Stegostoma tigrinum: one gene and its partner. The protein of the gene in region 2 interacts with the protein of the main gene of each other region in a pairwise test. Links are inferred from orthologs where the notes say so. Each region holds a gene or a part of one and is shown on either strand. Other genes may lie near its edges.

Region 1 (11,899 bases), on a different chromosome or scaffold from region 2:
AATTGAATTCAAGTGGTTACTATTCATTGTGGGTGTTCAGTAAAAGACAATTTGCAAATAATCATTTATGAATAACAGATGAAACAAAAGGCTAATAAGTGGTTAAGGAAGATCCTTACCTTTCCATTTGGCAGCTAAAGTGGGGTCTGAAATATTGTAATCTGGTCGGCTTCTCGACAACACCCCTTTTCCAAAATAACCCTTTAAACAGAGGAAATTTAGCGAGATTTTCAACATTACCAAATTTTTGATTTCAACAGTTAAACAAAGACGATGCTGTTATAATTTAGTAAAATGAGACAGGCCAGTTTCTATCCAGTTAGTCCAACCCCTCTTTGCTTTACTTGTATCCTTGTATTTCTTGTTCTCCTTCAAGTATTAATTCAATTTCCTTTTGAATGCTGTGACCGAATTTGTGTTGACTGCATCGACTGCCCTCTCAGACAGTGCACTGTAAATCCTACTCACTGTGCCTAAAAAAGATTTGCCATTATGTTGCTGCTAGCTCTTGGCAAATCAATTTAAATCTGTACTCTCTGCTTACCAACCCATGAGCCATTGGAAACAGTTTCTCCTCATAGTACATCTAAACCCTTTATGATAATAAACATACCTATTCCTCTCTCAACCTTCACAGTTATAATGAGAAAATCTAGCCTCTATTAACTATTATTTCACATCTCTGGAACTATTCAAGTAATGGAACACCACCACCTGCAAGCCCCTCTCCAAGCCACTCATCACTCCGACTTGGAAATATATCACCATTCCTTCCTGTTGCCAGGTCAAAATTCTAGAATTCCCTCCCTAAGGGCATTGTGGGTCTAGCACATGGCCTGCAGTGGTTCAAGAAGGCAGCTCACCACCACCTTCTCAAGGGCGACTGGGGATGGGCAATAAATGCTGGACACCCACATCCCATCAGTAAACAACAAAGGGGAGACAGTGGTGTAGCCCCTGGACTAATAACCCAGTGACCCAGGCTACTGCTCCAGAAACACGCAGTCAAATCCAACCACTGCAGCTGGTGAAATTTAAATTCAAAAAGAGAATAAATTGGAAATAAAAAGTTTGTCTAATGATAATCACAAAACCCTTAATGATTGCTGTAAAAGCCAATCAGGTTCACTAATACAAAAACAACGTTGCTGGAAATGCTCAGTGGGTCCGGCAACATCTTTGAAGGTCAAACAGAGTTAACGTTTCGGGTCCAATGACCCTTCCTCAGGCCCTTCCTATTCTGAGGAAAGGTCACTGGACCCAAAACGTTAACTCTATTTTTCTCCTTCACAGACGCTGCCAGACCTGCTGAACTTTTCCAGAAACTTTGTTTTTGTTCCTGATTTACAACATTTGCAGTTCTTTTGGTTTTTATTCAAGTTCACTAATACCCTTAGAGAAGGAAATCTGCAATCCTTAACTGGTTTTGCTACATGTGATTCTACACCCATAGCAATATGGTTGCCTCTCAACTGCTCTCTGAAATGGTCTAGAAAGCCACCCTCAAACCATTAAAAAAAAAAATCGAAAGAAAGGAATGAAACCAAATGGATCATCTGGTGTCAATCTATCTGTTGCAGGTGCATCTGCTGTTGCCACTATCAATAAAAGTGACCACCGCACAGACTTTGTGGAGGTAAAGTTTCATTTTTACTCCATTATCATGTGTGGCAATTGTGTTAACTGTGAAAGGTGATAACCAGATCTCACAGAACAAGACTGGGAATCTGTGAGGCACTGTGGGCCATCAGTAACATTTTATTTAACCACAATCTGTAACCTCATGGCCTGGCAAATACTGGCTATTAGCATCAAGCCTGGAGATCAAACCTAGTTCAATGAAAAGTGCAGTAGCACCTGCCAGAAGCAGCGCCAGGCATACACACGATGAAGTTACAATACAGGACTACTTGATGCAAAACGGCAGAAGCAGGATACAGTAATCAAAGTGATCCTAGAATCAATGGATCAGATCTAAGTTCTGCAGTCCTGTCACATCCAGTCATGAACGGTGGTGGACAATGAAATGACTCACTGGAGGAGAAGGCTCCACAAATATCCTCATCTTTAAAAAGAGGGCAGAGGCCAACACACAGGTACAATGGATAAGGCTGAAGCAATTGAAACTGTTCTGAAGAAGGGTCACTGGACACAAAACATTAATTGATTTCTCTCCACTGATGTTGCCAAACCTGCAGACATCTTCCAGCAACTTCTGTTTCTGTTTGTGTTTGAAACTGTGTTCAGCCAGAAGTGCTGAGTGGATGATCCGCCTTGGCATCCTCTTGACTGTGTCACAGTCAGTCTGATTCATGCCATATGCTATCAAGAAACAGATGACGGTACTGGACGCTGTAAAATCTATAGGTCCTGACAATGTCCCAACAATAGTACTGACGCCTTGAGCTCCAGAATTTGCTGCATCCCTAGTCAAGCTGTTCCAATACAGCTACAATACTGGGATCAACCTGACAATGTGGAAAATTTCCCAGATATCGCCTGTCCACACGAAGCTGGACAGCTCCAACCTGACCAATTACTCCCAAAGTCTACTCTCAGTCATCAGCTAAGTAATGGACAGGACTGCACCAGCTGAAGACAGCGACTCATCTGCACTTTCTCAAAGGCATTATGGATTGGTAATGAGGACTCAAACATCCTATCAATGCATAACAAAAGAAAAACATCAAGTTGGCCATCCTCTCAACACTTTGCATTCTTCCTAATGTATAGTGCCCAGAATTAAACACATTCCTGCTGTTGGAACCTATAAAGGTTCCTAACTTTTGCACTCAATGCCTCAATTTACAAAGTCTGGAACCTCATATGCTTTATTAACTGAATTGTTAATCTGTCCTGGCATATTAAATGAACTCTTTGTGAAATCCTTCCATCTTTTATGTTCTTGCATCAGCCTTTAAAATTGTACAGCTCGGCTTGTATTATTTTACCTGATTCTTCCACTCAAATTGAACCACCTACCTACGTCCGACATGTTTTCACATTCCACCAGCAGTCTATGTCTGCTCCTGGCTATCTATCTTCCTCACTGCTTATAAGTTGCATGTCATATGCCAACTTTGAAATTGTGCCCTATAACGCCACGTTCAAATCATTAAAGTAAATGAGAAAAAGCAATGATCCTAAAATACCTTTCCATAAAGGGCTTGCATACTGTCTGGGTTCCTCACAATTACGTTGTTATTCATAATTTCTGCATAATAATGTTCTTGTTCATATGCATTTGATTCTTCTCGTTTTAATGGCACAGGATAAGGAGCTTCGTAAGATTCATACACTCTTCTCTTTCTTTTTGGCGCACAGAAGTTTGCTTCTGCCATAGCACCAAAGATTCCTTTGAAGTAATTTCAGACAGGATGGTTGCTTCAAATTAAAATATTCAGAAGTTAAGGGTTTTACATGGGTAAACAATTACTGAGCAGCTTAGCCAGTTAATAAATTCCCTGAAGTTTTTAATAAGGTAAATGCCAAACACAATTCTGTTGGAAGGTATCACTGCTAATTTATAATGAATCATTTCAGATCTTTATAGCCATGTACACAGAATACCTACAGTGTAGAAACAGGCCATGTGGCCCATTGAGTCTGCACTGACCCACTGAAGAACATCCCATCCAGACTCAGATGCCCACCCTGTCCCCATAACCCTGTGTTTTCCATGACTAATCCACCTAGCCTGCACATCTATTGCCACTACAGAGCAATTTACAATGGTCAATCTACCTAGCCTGTTCATCCTTGGACTGTGGGAGAAAATTGGAGCATCCAGAGGAAACCCACGCAGACACAGACAGCAAGTGCAAACTCTACTCAGGCAGTCACCCAAGGCTGAAATGCAATCAAGGTTCCTGGTACTATTAGGCAGCAGTGTTAACCACAGTGCCACCATGCTGCTTGTCTCCAACAAGGTTTTAAACAACTGTTAAAGTACCTGTTTTAACAAACTGATATATTTTTATCATCAATGCTTGGTCTGCCACTCAAATCCTCTCTAGACAGACGTCACAAGCAGTTGCAGCCAAGGAGAAGGGGTTTCTTCCTCCTGCAATCCTCTCCACTGAGATTCAGTCATAGAGAATCATGGAATAACAAGGAGTAGAGCTGGATGAACACAGCAGGCCAAGCAGCATCTTAGGAGCAGGAAAGCTGATGTTTCAGGCCTAGACCCTTCATCTAGGCCCAAAACATCAGCTTTCCTGCTCTTAATATGCTGCTTGGCCTGCTGTATTCATCCAGCTCTACACCTTGTTATCTCAGATTGTCCAGCATCTGCGGTTCTATTATGTCTGTTACAACTTTAACCTCACTGCGAAGCCTCTTCTAAGGATGCCTACCCTGAAGAAGTTACCCTCCTCCCTCCAGACCAACCTCAGGGGATCTCTCTCCCACTGCAACTCTCTCGTAATCTCTTCGGCCTTGAAACTGCTCGACCATATCCTGAAGCAAACCAGATACTACAGCCATATCACCTTTCTTAGTCCCTGCCTACGAAACCAGATCATCCCCAATGGACTACAGTCCACATTAAAAGCCTTCCCAATTTGACCCCAAACATAACAATGTCTACATTCAGAACATTGAGACCCTTCAGAAGCGTTTCTCCCAATAGGGAATCATGATCGGGCTATACAATACCCAAGAGGGGGGTTTCACGGATTGTCAATGTGCAGACAGATCTCAGGGAATCAAAGATAACCAGGCATTGGCTGTCTTTTTTACCGACAGGTTCTCCCTCCGCTTTTACCTAATTAATTCCTCAAACTCGAAAATGTCATTCTGCATTACTCCTCCATCCCCTTCAGTCCCTCATTTCCTCTCTACAGCAGGCCTTTCCATAACTCTGGCCATTTCCTCACCCCACTGTATCTACTGTGCGCGCGTATACTGTACCTTCCACTGTTCTCTTTTCATTTTTCTCCCCATCTGCGCCTTTTTCCCCACATGCTTTCCACAAAAACACAGTTGCCCCTGTTGCTCACCGCCCCCGTTCATTCCCAGCGCGTACCGTACCCCCTCCACCCCACTCCTACCGTGAGGGGTCAGCCAAACCGGTCAGCACACTGTGAAGTGCCGCAATGGAAGGAAATAACATTCCAACAGTTGTTACAGGGACGTTCGGAACACTGATACTCCAGATTCCCATTCACAACAAGCACAAACATTGCTACATTGTAACCACCAGAATACTCACGGCCGTTTCAAGCGTCCACACAGCATCAGCCGCCAGTGCAACCCAGAAACATCACCGACCGAACCCTCTCTTACTGTTTCTTCGTTCCCATTGAGTTTCCGCAATAAAGTGCCTCGATTGCATTAATCAATTGTGCATGAAGCTTTCTTCGTCTAATGTATTGAAAACACAAATTTAGATTTGTTCTAGCAAATAACTTACGAATGCCTTCATAACTGAGTTTTTCAATTCTTTTTGGAAACTGCCTATTTGCCTCATCTATGATGTGTGAACAGGGTGATTGGCACTCTTGAAAGAATCAGACTGGCACTGCACAGAAGCAGGCCATTTGGCCTGCTAAAACAATTAACCTCATGCAATTCTTTCATGTAACAATTCAATTTCTTTTGAAAGCCAGGGGAATCTGCTTCTACCATACATCCTAGATTCCAACCGCCTGGTGCTTAAAGTGTTTATCCCATTTTCCTAATTATTTCCTTTGCCAATCAAAGTACAGTCCTTTTTCTTGAAGTCCTGCCAGCAAAACATCTACTCTGGCTAGACCCCACGTGATTTTAAAAACCATAAGAAAGCAGCCACAGGTCCTCCAATAGCTATCTACTGGACCAAAGTTTCTCACTCCAAAACCATTCTCATGGATCTTTTCTGCATCCTGCCAAGCATGACTATGTCCTTTCTGAAAATACTTCATCTGAGGCAGAATGTGTGTGTTTTACATAGCTTTATCATAACTTCCTCAGAGATAGCAAGAACTGCGGATGCTGGAGTCAGAGATAACACTGTGCGGAGCTAGAGGAACACAGCAGGCCAGGCAGCATCAGAGGAGCAGGAAAGCTGAAGAAGGGTGCCGGCCCAAAATGTCAGCTTCCCTGCTCCTCTGATGCTGCCTGGCCTGCTGTGTTCCTCCAGCTCCACACTGTGTTACTTTTATCATAACTTCTTTGTTTTTATATGGTCTGCTTCTATTTATAAAGCCTTTTTAATCATTCTCTCAATCATCCATTCAATGATTTGTGGTAATCAGATCTCTTTGCTCCCACATCCTCTTTAAGATTGTGTCCTTCAGATTATATTGCCTGTCCCTGTTCCTCTCACCAAGCTTAATGGCTTCACACTTCTCTGCAATAAATTTCGTCAGCAGCTTGTCCACCTACTCTAGCAACTTCCCTGTGGAAATGCAGTTTGGTTGAATCTAAACTAGCTGCCGCTAAAACTCGGTCCATTGCTCAGTTACAGTTTTGTCTGCCACTCTTTGATTCCTGTTTATTTGGCTAAATCTGTTCTCTCGCTATTCAAGTTTCCCCCTTCCCAATTAATTATGCTCTGATTGATGCTTGACCTATACCATTCCTAACCTAAACATCGAAACAAAGAGAGGGAGTAGGCCATTTAGTCTTTGAGTCTGCTCTGCCATTAAGTATGATCATGGCTGATCCTCTATACAATATCATATACCCGCTTCCCCCCAACAGCACTTGATACCTTTAATATCTAAAAAAATTACCAATCTTTTTCTTGAATATATTCAGTGACTGTGTCTCCACAGCCTTCTGTGGTTGAGAATTTCACAGGTTCAGCTCCCTTTGAGTGAGGAAATCTTTCTTCATCTCAATCCTACATGGTCTAACCCATATCCTAAGACTTTGCTCCCGGCTTCTAGTCCCAACTGGGGACCACATCCACTCTGCATCCATTCTGTTCAGCCCTGTTAGAATTGTTTATGTTTCTATCAGGTCTTCTCTCATTCTTCAAAAGTCTAGTGTTTACAAGTCCAGTCAAATCAATCTGTCCTCATTGAACAGTCCTGCCAGCTCTGGTATCAGAGATAATGGGAACTGCAGATGCTGGAGAATCCAAGATAACAAAGTGTGGAGCTGGATGAACACAGCAGGCCAAGCAGCATCTCAGGAGCACAAAAGCTGACGTTTCAGGCCTAGACCCTTCATCAGAGAGGAGGATGAAGGGTCTAGGCCCAAAAAGTCAGCTTTTGTGCTCCTGGGATGCTGCTTGGCCTGCTGTGTTCATCCAGCTTCACACTTTGTTATCTCTGGTATCAGCCTACTTAATCTTCATTGAATTCGCTCTTTGTCACATATATCTTTTTTTAGATAGGGTAACCAGAACTGCATCTCATGTTCATCCACACTTGATGTATCACCGTTTAAATAATTTTTTTCTATTTTTCTCACAGAAGTGTTTAATTTCACATTTAGCCACATTGTGCTAAACCCGCCATGTGTTTGTCCACACACCTGTTGAAGTGGCCTAGATGCTTCCTTGCGCCCTCTGCATCACTTAGTATCCTCACCCGCTTTGTGTCATCAGCAAACTTGGAAATGTTGCATTTGGTTCTGTCATCCATGTTGTTTAAATGTATTGTGAATAGCTGGGCACAAGCACAGGTCCTTGTAGTACCCCAATAATCTCTGCCTGCCACTCTGAAAATGCTCCATTTTTTCTCAGTTTCTGTTACCAATTCCTGAACCATGCCAATATATTACCACCAAATCCCATGTGCTTTAACTTTGCCCACTAGCCTTTTATGAAGGACCTTGTCAAAAGTCTTCTGAAACTCCAAATACACCACGTCCACTGGTTCTTCCTGAGCTATTCTACTTGTTATGTCCTTTAAAAAGTCCAGTTCATTTGTTAAGCATGATTTGCCTTTTATAAACTCTTTCATAATTTCCATAAAGGTTCTGTTATCACATTTTTTATAACAAACTCTAGCATTTTAGCCACTACTGGTGTTAGACAAACTGGTCCATAATCCTATGTTTTCTCTCCTTCCTTTTTTAAATCATGGCGTTATTTTTGCCACCTTCCTATCTGTAGGAATTGCTCTAGAATCTGTAGGATTTTGGAAGATAATCATCAATGCATCTGATATTTCCAGGGCCATATCCCTTAGTACTGTGGGATGTATATCACCAGGCCCTGGTGATTTGTCAGCCTTTAAATTTATTAATTTTCCCTGCACTATTTTCTTATTAATACTGATTTCCTTCAATTCCACTCTGTCACTAAACCCTTGGTTCCCTAACATATCTGGGAAGTTATTTGTGCCCTCATTTACAAAGACAGAACCAAAGTATTTGTTTAATTCTTCTGCCATTATTTGTTCCTCATTATACTCTTGTTAGCTTCTGCCCTAAACGTTATGATACATTAATCACTGTCCCCTGAGTGGTTCCCTGCTGACATTGATCCACTTAGCAAACCTCAATCCCAAGAACTAGGACCAGTGTCGTCTCCCGTTGGACTGGAAACATTCTGATGCAAAGGATTCTACTGAACATACCCCAGGAATGGGTTTCTTTACACGACTAATTTCCCCATATATATTACAATAATTTACACATCCCATTATTTCTACTCTATAATATGTACAAGTTCCTAATTGCAAATTTGTTTCTTTACACGTTTCCCAATTGTCAGTCACCTACACAATAAACTGAGCAATGCAATTATACATCATTACTTCTCAGCTATAGCCTTGAATGTACAAGAGCAAAAGAACTCTAAAAAGATCCTCTAAATGAACACTAGAAGGAATTCTAAAAGATCATGAAGCCTGAGAAAACTGGAGTTAATGGGAATCAGGGGAAAACCTTTGGCTGGTTAGGGTCATAGGCACAAAGAAAGATGGTTGTGGTTGTTGGAGGTCAGTCATCTCAGCTCCAGGACATCACTGCAGAAGTTCCTCAGTGTAGTGTCCTAGGTTCAACCATCTTCAACTGCTTCAATGACATTCTCTCCATCATAGGTCAGAAGTGGGGATGTTCACCAATGATGGCATTATGTTCAGTGCCATTTGCGAGTCCTCAGATACAGAAGCCTCAGGTTCAAATGCAACAAAATCTGGATAATATCCAGGCTTGGACTGACAAGTGGTAAGAAATATTCTTGCCACACAAATGCCAGGCTATAGCCATCCCCAATAAGAGACAATCTAACCCATGCCACTTGACATTCACCAGTGTTGCCATCACTGAGTCTGCTGCTATCAACATCCTGGTGGTAGGTAACCATTGACCTGGAACTGATTTAGACTCACCATATGAATACAGTGGCTACAATAGCAAGTAAGAGTCTGAGAATACTACAGTGAGTAACCTATCTTCTGACTTTCCAAAGTCTGTTACCATATACAAGACACAAGTCAGGAGTGTGATGGAATATTCTCCCCTTGCCCGGATGAGTGCCGGTCCAGCAATAGTAAAGAATCTTGACTCCATCCAGGACAATGCAGCTTAGTTGGTTGGCACCATATCCACAGTCATTCAGTTACTCCACCAGTGATGCTCAGTTGCAGCAGTGCATATTATCGACAAGATGCACGGTATTCATAAAACTCACAACCTTGCAAAAACATGCACTACTGTTTAGCACCTGATTCTCAAGCTCTGAAACTCAGAGGGAGACATGGAATAAATTATTTGTTTTGCTGATGAATGATAACAGAAATATATTAAAGACATTTCATTTGAAAATACGCAACACTGAATATATCACTTTTATTACTTGAAAATTCTTGATATATCTTTTACATTGTCCTTGAAGAATCATGTAGGTACATGCTCTAGATATAATGGATAATATTCTATAGAAAAATTGTGGCAATTTTTAAATTCAGCTCCATTTTAATCATGTACTACATCTTAAAGGTCACCAGATGGCACTTCTGTTACTGACCTGGCAATGTAAATATCCTCTCAAATTATAGTAATAATCATTTAAGTACTTTGCTTAGGATTTGATCCCTCACTTTTGTTACTTACTTTACTCAGTTGCAGCATTTGGCTAATAAATTGTAAACTTAACTATATTCTTCATGCTTTTTGCTGTCAGTTTGGTATTTTTTAAAATTTATTTTAGTTTATTCATTTTAGTTCAATATCCCAAGGATGGATAATTGCAAGATCATGGAACATACAATGAGGTATGGCTTATCTTGAATATTAATTGGAAAGAGTACAAAAAATGGTGACAGAGGCCCTTAAAAACTGGGAATACATTTCTTGTACGTTTGCATTGCTCCTCTATAAATGTACCAGCAGAAAAAAGCAAAAGAATTTGTTAATACCAGGATAAACATTATTAATTTCTAAATGATTTGTATGGAATTATACAGTCTCATTCACTTTGTTGATAGGATAAAACATTTGATTTGAAAATCAGTTGAATTTTTTTTATAAAATGTCTCAACCCTGGTGGGAATAATATGGTGGAAATCAAACCCTGCTTTAAGGGAAGATGGTGGCATAGTGGTAATGTCACTAATTTAATAATACAGAGCCCCAGGCTAATCATAGAATCTCTGCAGTGCACATTGGCCTCTGGCCCATCATGTCTGCACCAACCCTCCAAAGAGAAACCCATCCAGACCCACACCCCGACCTAAACCAATAACCACACATTTCCCATGGCTGACCCATTTGCCCTGGACACCATGGGGCAAAGTAACATGGCCAATGCACTAACCTGCAAACCTTTAGACTATGGGAGGAAGCCTGAGCACCTGACTGAAACCCCAGCAGACTCAGGGAGAATGTGCAAACCCCAATCAGACATTCGCCCAAGGCTGAGCCTAGATCCCCGGCACTGTGAGGCAGCAGTACTAACCACCGAGCCACCATGCATAATGTTCTGGTGATTATAGGTTCATATCCCAATGATGACAAATGGTGAAATCTGAGTTCAATAAACTACTGGAATTACCAAGCTATTCTAATGATTATCATACAGATTATCATACTTGTGATTGTTGTAAAGATCCATCTGGTTCACCCTTTATATCTAGCTCACATGTGATTCCAGACTTGTAGTCTGGGAAAGTAGAGATGGATGATAAATGCAAGCATAGACAAATGAATGGAAGGAAAACATGCACAAGTAGTTGCAAGGGAGAAATAGGACTAATTTAATTACCAGGAGGTTAATGCCTGTTTGTGACCATGATCTAAGATAAAAGAAAGTTACAACAGGTTTTATCAATGAACAAGAAAACCAATGTATTCATTATAGCAAAGAGATTATTAATCACAAATATGCAAGCTTAAATCCTTTGAATCCAAATACACACAGATTCACTCACACATAGGATGGACAAGTCCAATAAGACAAATAGTTTTTCGGAAATATCACGGGTTTCTCTGATGTAGCATGGATACCATTCATAGCCTAGGCAAATGCCAAGATGCACGGCATAGCCATTTTATTAACAGGTAGAAGCTGTCTTTGTCAGCCATTTTGACATTTGTAACACACATTCCACTATAAAACGGTTTGTGAGATTACTGCTTACCGTGAATGTGCATCATCACTACACTAGGATGGAAATTAGTGCGGTGGTGCATTTCCAGCTAAACAAATAAACAAATTTTAAACAAATAAAAGCTTGCATGCACTGTCATTTACATTGTGAGTTAGCCACATTACCCATATATACATGGTTATGGTCGTGTATTTACAAAAGCTTTTGTTCTGCTAGTTAGTCTTTCTTTTCTCAATATCTACATTCATTGTATGCATGCAAGTTATCACCTTTTCCTTCAACTTCTTCTGACTGGAGTGATGCGCTCTCTGTTTCTATTTCAAAATCTTCTCAGCTGACTCTGCTGATTGACTCTGTTATGGTAGCCACCTTTTTTCTTTAGTTTCTGTCCCACTCTATTTGTCAGTTTG
Region 2 (10,910 bases):
GCAGGAAGTGTTGGAAACACTCAGCAGGTCAGGCAGCATCTGTAAAGAAAGAAATAGGGTTAATGTTTCAAGAGGATAATCGTACTGCAATTCATCAGTATTTTCTGTTTTGATATCTGTGCTGATGTTGGTTGTAGGATAAATGCTGGGCAGAACTCTGGGGAGAACTCTCTAGCCCCATGTTAAATAGTTTTGTGAATTCTCATATGCACCTGAAAGGGACAATGGAGTCTCATATGCTCATCCAGTGAGTGAAGCTCAGGTAACACTAACGGTTTTTAAAAAAAACTTGTCCAACATAAAACAGTACATCTGACAATGCAGTGCTTCTCTGGAGTGTCTACCTTGGTTTTCTCCAGAATGGGACTTGAATCCGTGACACTCTCATTGGGAGAGGAGGGCTGGCACTGAGCTATGCCTGGTCATGACTTGTAACAGTACAATGAAGCGTGATGAAATTTGGTACAATGTGGCTTTTCAACCATCTCCCAGCTGACTCGTAAATTGTGGAGATCGAAGAGTTAGAAGAGGCACCCCAGGCAAGGTGTGATCATTTTGACCATAATGACTGGACTGGGATAGAGTCCTGGCAATCATTCTGATTTGGACAGAAAGAGAGGGGCACCAAAAAGGAAATCAGACTGTCCACTGTCTGTAATTAATTCCTTTCTATCTCCTTTCTGCATGTTATTTCAAACGGTTAACATTTTTAAAAAATCACCCTTACTAAAGAAGAATTGCATAGAAACAGGTTAAAAAGCTTGTTACAAACACGGAAGAATGTACTTTTACTGAAACATGATTAAAATAGAAGGCATTCTGGAATTTAAGGGTTCTGTCAAGACCTATCTGCTTTGGGAATGGCAAGAAAAGTAAACTCACTGCATTGGATTTCAGCTCCACAATGCTTTCCTGGGGCTTCCACTCAGCTTTTATCAGGCTTCCTCTAGATGAAAAGAGAAACTTTATGCAACTATCTCCCACAAAGCACGGCACGGCAATTCAGTGACTATAAATCTGCCAGATCAGGGAATGCACAACACATTATTAACCTCACATTCCACCACAGTCATAATTGTCCAAGCAGCAGAATACTAATCCACTGACTGTCACAAGAATTAACAACCGGTGCTGAACTCCAGAAAAGTCTGCCAATTGATATCATCTCCCCAACATCACACAAAATCAGCGTTTGAAGTGTGCTATTTCTGATAAGGGGTTATTTTAATGGAAAGTTTAAAGCAAGTTTCATTCTGTGCCTATCCTGTGCTGTCCCTGTCCTTGGATTGTTTGATGGGAACAGTGTACAATGATCTTGATATTTACTTTCAAGTTTAAAAGAGCAGAGGGATGTCTATTTTGTGTCTAACCCTGTGCTATCCCTGGCTCTCGGGTTTTTGATGGGGACAGCATTGAGGGGCCTTCACTTTCCATTTCCTATTTGTTTAAATGAACAAAGGAAGATTTACTTCTAGTTTAAAAGAGTTAGAGTAGCTTTAAACTGTACCTAACCACATGCCATTCCTGTCCTCGGAGTGTTTGATGGGGACAATGTAGAAAGACCTCTACTCTGTATCTAACCCTGTGCTGAATCGGTCCTGGGAGTATATAATGTAGACAGCGTAGAAGGAGTTTTACTCTGGATAAAATCCCATTTTGTACCTGTCCAGGAGCTGTTTGATGGGGTCAGTGTAGAGGAAAAGCTTTAATCAGTAGGTAATATACACTGCAACCCAAAAACCTACAAAATAGGTTGAAACATTGAACTCTCACCAAAGCAAGCTAGAAAACAGCTGAGACTATGTACTTCACAATGGACCAGAGACTGAGGGGTCAGTCTGATCAGCGTATTCGCAATGTCAAATCAAAGGAACTGCACCGTGCTCCCACAATACAGAAGCTTCTCCTGCTGTCTGTTTCCTACCTCTGCCTGTGTGGCTGAGCTATAGTTATTGTAGTAGGCCCATTGCCGAGTTCTGGCAGCTGCCCCATGGATATTTCAGGCCCCGGGTATTTCTGACTGACAAGCAGCAATCCTTACAGTCGTTCCACTCGCTCTTCAGACAGCAGCTGCCACTGTTCCTCTCGGCACACCCGAAGCCGCTCCATCTGCTCCTCAGAGTGATCCGGAATGAAGTCTTTCTGTCCATGGGTCCGTTGGGGAATTTTGTGATCCCGGGATCGTGCCGCGAACAATTCCTCAGAGCTGCAAAAGGGACACAAGAGAAAGTCTGCAAACATTAGGTGCCTGCTTGTTAAAGCATACGTTTATTATTCAATATAACGTAGAAAGTGTACCCCTTGTTACATCTGTCTGCTAGGTTCTTTATTCTTTCAAAGTTTATGGCTTTTGCTGACAAGGCTGGCATTTATTGCCACGTTTTCCATTGAACTAAATGGCTTGCTTGGCCATAGAACAATTAAGACACAAGCACATCGCTGTAGGTCACAGGTAAGGATGGCAGACTTCCATCATTAGTGAACCAATTGGATTTTTACAGTAGTTGATGATGGTTTCATAGTCACTATTCCTGAATTGGGATTTCATCAGTTCCATCAAATTCCATCAGTCACCACCACGGACTGTGATGGGATTTGAATCAACACCTTCAAAGTATTAGCCTGGAATTTTGGATTACTAGACCAACACTGCCACTCGGCTACTATCTTCCTCAGGGACAGGAACGTACAATATGCCATGCCACAGTTTTGAACATGGGCAGGGCATCTCCTTCAACAAACATCACAAAAACAGCTTATATGGGAGTTATCAAACTGTGCACAGAAAACTTTCATGAACACCAAATGTGGCAGCTACATTTCTTATTTTGCAACACCATCTGCATTTCTAAAGTAATTCATTGGCTAGGAGTACCTTTGAGATGCACAGTGGCTATAAAGAGTACTGTATAAAGGCAAATCTTTGCTCTTTTGTGGCAACTCTGCTGTTTTCAAGCGTCAGATCGACCTGTCTGTTCTTTCTACCTTCTGTCAGGTGAACAGGTACATACATCGTTACACAAAAGAACAAAGAACTTGCATTTATACAGCACCTTTCACGTCTTTGAGATCCCACTGTGCTTCATTGCTCATTAACTTACTCATGTTACAGATTTCAAATCCCACAACCTCTCAATTGACATGAGTGTGTGCTACTCCTGATCTCAGGCTAACAAGGTAATTTTGTAAAATAATAAATGGAGAAAGAGGCTGTCAGAAGACACCTGACCCTTAACTTAGGATGAAAATAACCAAAACAAAAACCACCCAGGATTTCGATCCATCCGTAACTAAGTCATGCAGATGTTGAGGGAGTATGCTGCATTTGTTAGTCACAAGTTCAAAACAAACAAGAAAGTCCACAAGCCAGTGCCAGATCATTGTGATTACAATCATCACAAATAGTTGCATTTACATCAATACCTGATCGAGAAGTCTCAAAGGAATCCACCCCAAGTTAAACAGAAACCCTTGAACTCAGCAGCTGAATCTGTACACATTTCAGATCCTAAAAACCAGAGATGTTCTCCCATTTGTCACTATTTTCTAAACAGACTGAAAGCGGACGATGGGGTGTTTGGGGTATGGGAAAGCACATTTCACCAAATTTGCCTGGTCAGTTTTGGCGACTTTTGCGGTTCAAACCCCACACAGCCCAGGAGGGACTACATAATGGCTGCAAGGAATAGAAACACAAGTAGGCCATTCAGCCCATCGAGTCTGCTCTGCCGTTTAATAGGATCGAAACGCATCTCATATTCTTCACGTCCACTTCCCTGCCCTTTCTGTTTAAACTTCAGTCTAGTCAAGAGTGATCCTCATCCTTAAACACACACAAGGACTCTGCCCCAAAGCTCTCTGTGTCAGGGAGTTACAAAGGCTCACCATCCTCTGAGAGAACAAATTCCTCCAAATCTCAGGGTTAAACTGGTGCCCCCTTTATTCTGAGACTATGCCCCATGAAGGGGGTGTGGGTGAACCATCCTCTCAGTATCTACCCTCTCTAACACACACACACAGAGACACACACACACACAGACTAACACACACACACACAGAGAGACTAACACACACACAGAGACAGACTGACTAACTAACTAACACACACACACACACACACACACACACACACACACACAGAGACACACACACACACAGACTAACACACACACACACAGAGACTAACACACACACAGAGACAGACTAACTAACTAACTAACACACACACACCATAATAATCCAGTCTGAGGGAAGATCATTTTGTTTTGAAGCCGCACTGCTGTCAGTGCTACATTTACATCCACCAGCCTGGGCAGCAAAACACCACAGCCACACTTCAGAACCCCGACTTTAACGCGGAGCGTCACTGACCCGGGCCCCCAGGCCTCCCTCTCCTTTACCTCAGGCTCCGGCTCACGGCTCCCAGCCCAGCCGCCTCCATTTCCAAGGACTGAGGCAAGAGCGGGGCCGCTGGGTCCTAGTGCCCGCACCACGTCACTGCCGGGTCCTAGTGCCCTCCCACTCATCGCCGGGTCCTGGTGCCCTCCCACTCACACGGCCGGGTCCTGGTGCCCTCCCACTCACACGGCCGGGTCCTGGTGCCCGCTCACTGACACGGCCGGGTCCTTGTGCACCCCCCCCCCAACGACATCGCCGGGTCCTAGTGCCCTCCCACTGACTCGGCCGGGTCCTGGTGCCCGCTCACTGACACGGCCGGGTCCTAGTGCCCTCCCACTGACATCGCCGGGTCCTGGTGCCCGCATCACGTCACTGCTGGGTCCTAGTGCCCTCCCACTGACATCGCCGGGTCCTGGTGCCCGCATCACGTCACTGCTGGGTCCTAGTGCCCTCCCACTGACATCGCCGGGTCCTGGTGCCCGCTCACTGACACCGCCAGGTCCTAGTGCCCGCATAGCGTCACCGCGAGTTCAGGTGCCCGCTCACTGAACCGGCGGGTCCAATTGTCGGCACAGAAAGAGCCGGGTCCTACTGCCCACCCCTGTTCCACTGCCCCGACCGTTCCCATTGCCGACAAAGTGTTACGCTCTTTCTCTCTGCATTGATGATGCCAGACCTGCTGAGTATGTCCAGCATTTGTCTGTGATAATAGTGTGGAGCTGGAGGAACACAGCAGGCCAGGCAGCTAGAGAGAAGCAGGAAAGCTGACGTTTCTGACATTTCTGTAGAAGGGTCCTTACAGCAAATGTAAACTTTCCTGCTCCAGAGATGTGGAGGAATTTGTTCTCTCAGAGGATGGTGAGTCTTTGTAACTCCCTGACACACACACACACACACAGCTTTGGGGCAGAGTCCTTGTGTGTGTTGAAGGATGAGGTAGACTCGACTATTTGGGGAATCAAGGTTTAAGGAGAAAAGGCAGAAAGGGGATTAGATGAGGCTTGATCCTATTAAACGGGAGAGCAGATTCGATGGGCTGAATGGCCTACTTGTGTTCCTATTCTTTGCAGCCATTATGTAGTCCCTCCTGGGCTGTGTGGGGTTTGAATCGCAAAAGTCACCAAAACTGACCAGGCAAATTTGGTGAAATGTGCTTTCCCATACCCCAAACACCCCATCGTCCGCTTTCAGTCTGTTTAGAAAATAGTGACAAATGGGAGAACATCTCTGGTTTTCAGGATCTGGAATGTGTATAGATTCAGCTGCTGAGTTCAAGGGTTTCTGTTTAACTTGGGGTGGATTCCTTTGAGACTTCTCGATCAGGTATTGATGTAAATGCAACTATTTGTGATGATTGTAATCACAATAATCTGGCACTGGCTTGTGGACTTTCTTGTTTGTTTTCTACATGTGACAACAAAGCAGCATACTCGGTCAACATCTGCATGACTTAGTTACGGATGGATCGAAATCCTGGGTGGTTTTTGTTTTGGTTATTTTCATCCTAAGTTAAGGGCCAGGTGTGATGAGCTAATCTCTCTCTGACAGTCTCTTTCTCCATTTATTAGTTTACAAAATTACCTTGTTAGCCTGAGATCAGGAGTAGCACACACTCATGCCAGTTTGGAGGTTGTGCGGTTTGGTATATAAATGCAAGTTCTTTGTTCTTTTGTGTAACGATGTATGTACCTGTTCACCTGACAGAAGGTGGAAAGAACAGACAGGTCGATCTGACGCTTTAAAACAGCAGAGGCAATGAATTCCACAAGCTCACCACTCTCTGGCTGAAGAAATGTCGTCTCATTTCAGTTTTAAATTTACTCCCTCTAATTTTAAGGCTGTGCCCACGGGTCCTAGTCTCCCCGCCTAACAGAAACAACTTCCTAGCGTCCACCCCTTCTAAACCATACATTATCTTGTAAGTTTCTATTAGATCGCCCCTCAACCTTCTAAACTCTAATGAGTACAATCCCAGGATCCTTAGCCGTTCATCATACGCTAAACCTACCATTTCAGGGATCATCCATGTGAATCTCAGCTGGACACGCTCCAGGGCTAGTATGTCCTTCCTGGGGTGTGGGGCCCAAAATTGGACAAAGTATTCTAAATGGGGCCTAACTAGAGCCTTATAAAGCCTCAGAAGCACATCGCTGCTTTTATATTCCAACCCTCTTGAGATAAACGACAACATTACATTCGCTTTCTTAATTACGGACTCTACCTGCAAGTTAACCTTTAGATAATCCTGGACCAACACTCCCAGATCCCTTTGTACTTCTGATTTGCGAACTTTCTCACCATTTAAAAAATAGTCCATGCCTGTATTCTTTTTTCCAAAGTGCAAAATCTCACATTTACTCACATTGAATTTCATCAGCCATTTCCTGGACCACTCTCCTAAACTGTCTAAATCTTTCTGCAGCTTCCCCACCTCCTAAGTACTACCTGCCTGTACACCTATCTTTGTATCATCGGCAAACTTCGCCAGAATGCCCCCAGTCCCTTCATCCAGATCATTAATATATAAGGTGAACAGCTGTGGCCCTAACACTGGACCCTGCGGAACACCACTCGTCACCGGTTGCCATTCTGAGAAAGAGCCTTTTATCCCAACTCTCTGCCTTCTGTCAGACAGCCAATCCGCAATCAAAGGCAGTAGCTCACCTCGAACACCATGGGCCCTCACCTTGCTCAGCAGCTTCCCATGAGGCGCCATATCAAAGGCCTTTTGGAAGTCTAGACAGATAACATCTACTGGGTTTCCCTGGTCTAACATACTTGTTACTTCTTCAAAGAATTCTAACAGGTTTGTCAGGCACGACCTCCCCTTACTAAAACCATGCTGACTTGTTTTAATCTGACCCTGCACTTCCAGGAATTTAGAAATCTCATCCTTGACAATGGATTCTAGAATTTTACCAACTACCGAGGTTAGGCGAATCGGCCCATAATTTTCCTCTTTTGCCTTGATTCTTTCTTAAACAAGGGGGTTACAACAGCAATTTTCCAATCATCTGGGACTCTCCCTGACTCCAATGACTTCTGAAAGATCACAACCAAAGCCTCCGCTATTTCCTCAGCCACCTCCCTCAGAACTCTAGGATGTAGCCCATCGGGGCCAGGAGATTTATCAATTTTTAGACCTTTTAGCTTTTCTAGCACTTCCTCTTTTGTAATGCCTACTGTACTCAACTCTGGCCCCGGCTCTCCCTAATTGTTGGCATACTACTCATGTCTTCCACTGTGAAGACTGTCGCAAAGTACTTATTAAGTTCTTCAGCTATTTCCTTATCTCTCATCTTCCTTATCTTCCAGAAAACATCTGATCAGCAAACTCTCCTCATATTTATTGCCTACCATCAGACATAGTGGAAGGATTCACAGGCAGACAAATAGCCTAATTGGTAACGTTACAACCACATCTTAGATGACCAACAAGTCCTGGAGTGGGACTTGAACACCCAGCATCTGGCCTAGAAAGAGGGGCACTATCACTGCTTCAAAAGATTTGCTTCATGCAAACTACTGCCATAGATACATGGATGGTGCAACGCCAGCTCTGTAATAACTGATTGGGATAGTCCCAAAGAGCAATTGGGACATGAGTTGCAGACAAGGAAAGACATCACATCAGAAACAGGTACTCATTTCCATAGTCAATGAGTCATCAAGTAGAGATATCCCAAATAAGACATTCCTGTATAAATTTCCCACCTCATAAACTTTGCAACAAAATCAGAAACTGCTGGAAAACTTAACAGAGATAGTAGGAACTGCCAATGCTAGAGAACCTGAGATAACAAGATGGAGAGCTGGATGAACACAGCAGGCCAAGCAGCATCAGAGGAGCAGGAAAGTTGATGTTTCAGGTCTAGACCCTCCTTCAGAACAGAAGGGTCTAGACCCAAAACGTCAGCTTTCCTGCTCCTCTGTTGCTGCTTGGCCTGCTGTGTTCATCCAGCTCTACACCTTGTTATCTCAGAAAAACTTAGCAGCTCTGGCTGCATTCAGGTTTAGACAGCCTTCTTCAGAAATGATCCACAGATGTAGCCAGAGCTGCTGAGCTTTGGCTGCATCTGTAGATCATTTCTGGAGAGGGCTGTCTAGACCTGAAACATTAATTCTGCTTTCTCGCCACACATGGATGAACTGAAGGGAATGTATATTAGGCAGGAAAAGGTGTCGGATAGATTGTTAGGTCTGAAGGCTGATAAGTCCCCAGGACCTGATGGTCTGCATCCCAGGGTACTTAAGGAGGTGGCTTTAGAAATCGTGGACACGTTGGTAATTATTTTCCAATGTTCTATAGATTCAGGATCAGTTCCTGCGGATTGGAGGGTGGCTAATGTTGTCCCACTTTTCAAGAAAGGTGGGAGAGAGAAAACAGGGAATTATAAACTGGTAAGCCTGACGTCAGTGGTGGGAAAGATGCTGGAGTCAATTATAAAAGATGAATTTACGAAGCATTTGGATAGCAGTAACAGGATAGGCCAGAGTCAGCATGGATTTACGAAGGGGAAATCATGCTTGACTAATCTTCTGGAATTTTTTGAGGATGTAACTATGAAGATGGATAAGGGAGAGCCAGTGGATGTAGTGTACCTGGTCTTTCAGAAAGCCTTTGATAAAGTCCCACACAGGAGATTGGTGAACAAAATTAGGGCACATGGTATTGGGGGCAAACTATTGGCTTGGATTGAAAATTGGCTGGCCGACAGGAAGCGAAGAGTACTGATAAACGGGTCCCTTTTGGAATGGCAGGCGGTGACCAGTGGGGTACCACAGGGTTCGGTGCTGGGACCGCAGCTGTTTACGATATATATTAATGATATAAATGAAGGCATTAAAAGTAATATTAGCAAATTTGCTGATGACACAAAGTTGGGTGGCAGTGTGAAATGTGAGGAGGATGTTATGAGAATACAGGGTGACTTGGACAGGCTAGGTGAGGGGACGGATGCATGGCAGATGCAGTTTAATGTGGATAAATGTGTGGTTATACACTTTGGTGGCAAGAACAGGAAGGCAGATTACTATCTAAATGGAGTCAAGCTAGGTAAAGGGGAAGCACAACGAGATCTGGGTGTTCTTGTACATCAGTCAATGAAAGCAAGCATGCAGGTACAGCAGGTAGTGAAGAAAGCTAATGGCATGCTGACCTTCATAACAAGAGGAATTGAGTATTGGAGCAAAGAGGTCCTTCTGCAACTGTACAGGGCCCTGGTGAGACCGCACCTGGAGTATTGTGTGCAGTTTTGGTCTCCAAATTTGAGGAAGGACATTATTGCTATTGAGGGAGTGCAGTGTAGGTTCATAAGGTCAATTCCCGGAATGGCGGTACTATCATATGTTGAAAGATTGGAGCGACTGGGCTTGTATACACTTAAGTTTAGAAGGATGAGGGGGGATCTGATTGAGACATATAAAATAATTATAGGATTGGACACTCTGGAGGCAGGAAGCATGTTTCCGCTGATGGGGGAGTCCAGAACCAGAGGACACAGTTTAAAAATAAGGGGTAGGCCATTTAGAACAGAGTTGAGGAGAAACTTCTTCACCCAGAGAGTGGTGGATATATGGAATGCTCTGCCCCAGGAGGCAGTGGAGGCCAAGTCTTGGATACTTTCAAGAAAGAGATGGATAGACCTCTTAAAGATAGTGGATTCAAGGGTTACGGGGATAAGGCAAGAACAGGATACTGATTGTGGATGATCATAATGAATGGTGGTGCTGGCTCGAAGGGCTGAATGGCCTACTCCTGCACCTATTGTCTATTGTCTATGCAACCAGAGTTGCTGAGTTTTTCCAGCATTTTTGATTTCTAGCATCCACAGTTCTTTGGTTTTCTGTAAAATTTGTAGACGTAAATACTGAAGCCTATTTCCAATGGTCATCCAGCTTGTCTTATATTCGTACTGATTTACAACTCCTCATTAATACTGCCCACTCCCCAGCAGTACAGCTCAGGAATTCTGTTACAGTTCACCACCTACCCAACACTGGTGCAGTGTGAAGTTTCCTGCAGATTTACTTCAGTTTGCCTGATTTCATAGAGAAATAAACATTTCACAGGAAAAGAGAACAATAGACAACTCAAGAGACTAGGATAAAAGGAGTGATTTGTAAATTGACAGAGGATTGGAATGATTTCAGATACCAGCAAAACCCTGTGAAACTGATGGCCTACGTCTGAGATCATATGAAAGAAGTTGCTGAGGATAGTGGACAGATTAGTTAGAACATAGAACATAGAACATAGAACAGTACAGCACAGAACAGGCCCTTCAGCCCACAATGTTGTGCCGACCATTGATCCTCATGTATGCACCCTCAAATTTCTGTGACCATATACATGTCCAGCAGTCTCTTAAATGACCCCAATGACCTTGCTTCCACAACTGCTGCTGGCAACGCATTCCATGCTCTCACAACTCTCTGCGTAAAGAACCTGCCTCTGACATCCCCCCTATACTTTCCACCAACCAGCTTAAAACTATGACCCCTCGTGCTAG

Evidence for each region.
Region 1: the proteins of tsen54 (region 2) and tsen2 interact in a two-hybrid assay, tested with the Homo sapiens proteins (2 studies listed by BioGRID and IntAct). The two-hybrid records come from large-scale screens. The link is inferred for Stegostoma tigrinum from reciprocal best matches to the Homo sapiens genes TSEN54 and TSEN2.

The regions. Positions count from the first base shown.
Region 1 is NC_081364.1:24,973,945-24,985,843, reverse strand, and holds the start of tsen2 (tRNA-splicing endonuclease subunit Sen2), read right to left. Parts: upstream 5,472-11,899; 5' UTR 5,213-5,471; intron 5,206-5,212; exon of another isoform or gene 5,027-5,205; intron 4,970-5,026; exon of another isoform or gene 4,912-4,969; intron 3,385-4,911; 5' UTR 3,342-3,384; coding exon 3,153-3,341; intron 202-3,152; coding exon 120-201; intron 1-119.
Region 2 is NC_081375.1:51,131,787-51,142,696, forward strand, and holds the start of tsen54 (tRNA-splicing endonuclease subunit Sen54), read right to left. Parts: upstream 4,531-10,910; 5' UTR 4,442-4,530; coding exon 4,401-4,441; intron 2,207-4,400; coding exon 2,042-2,206; exon of another isoform or gene 1,993-2,041; coding exon of another isoform or gene 1,925-1,992; intron 947-1,924; coding exon 883-946; intron 1-882.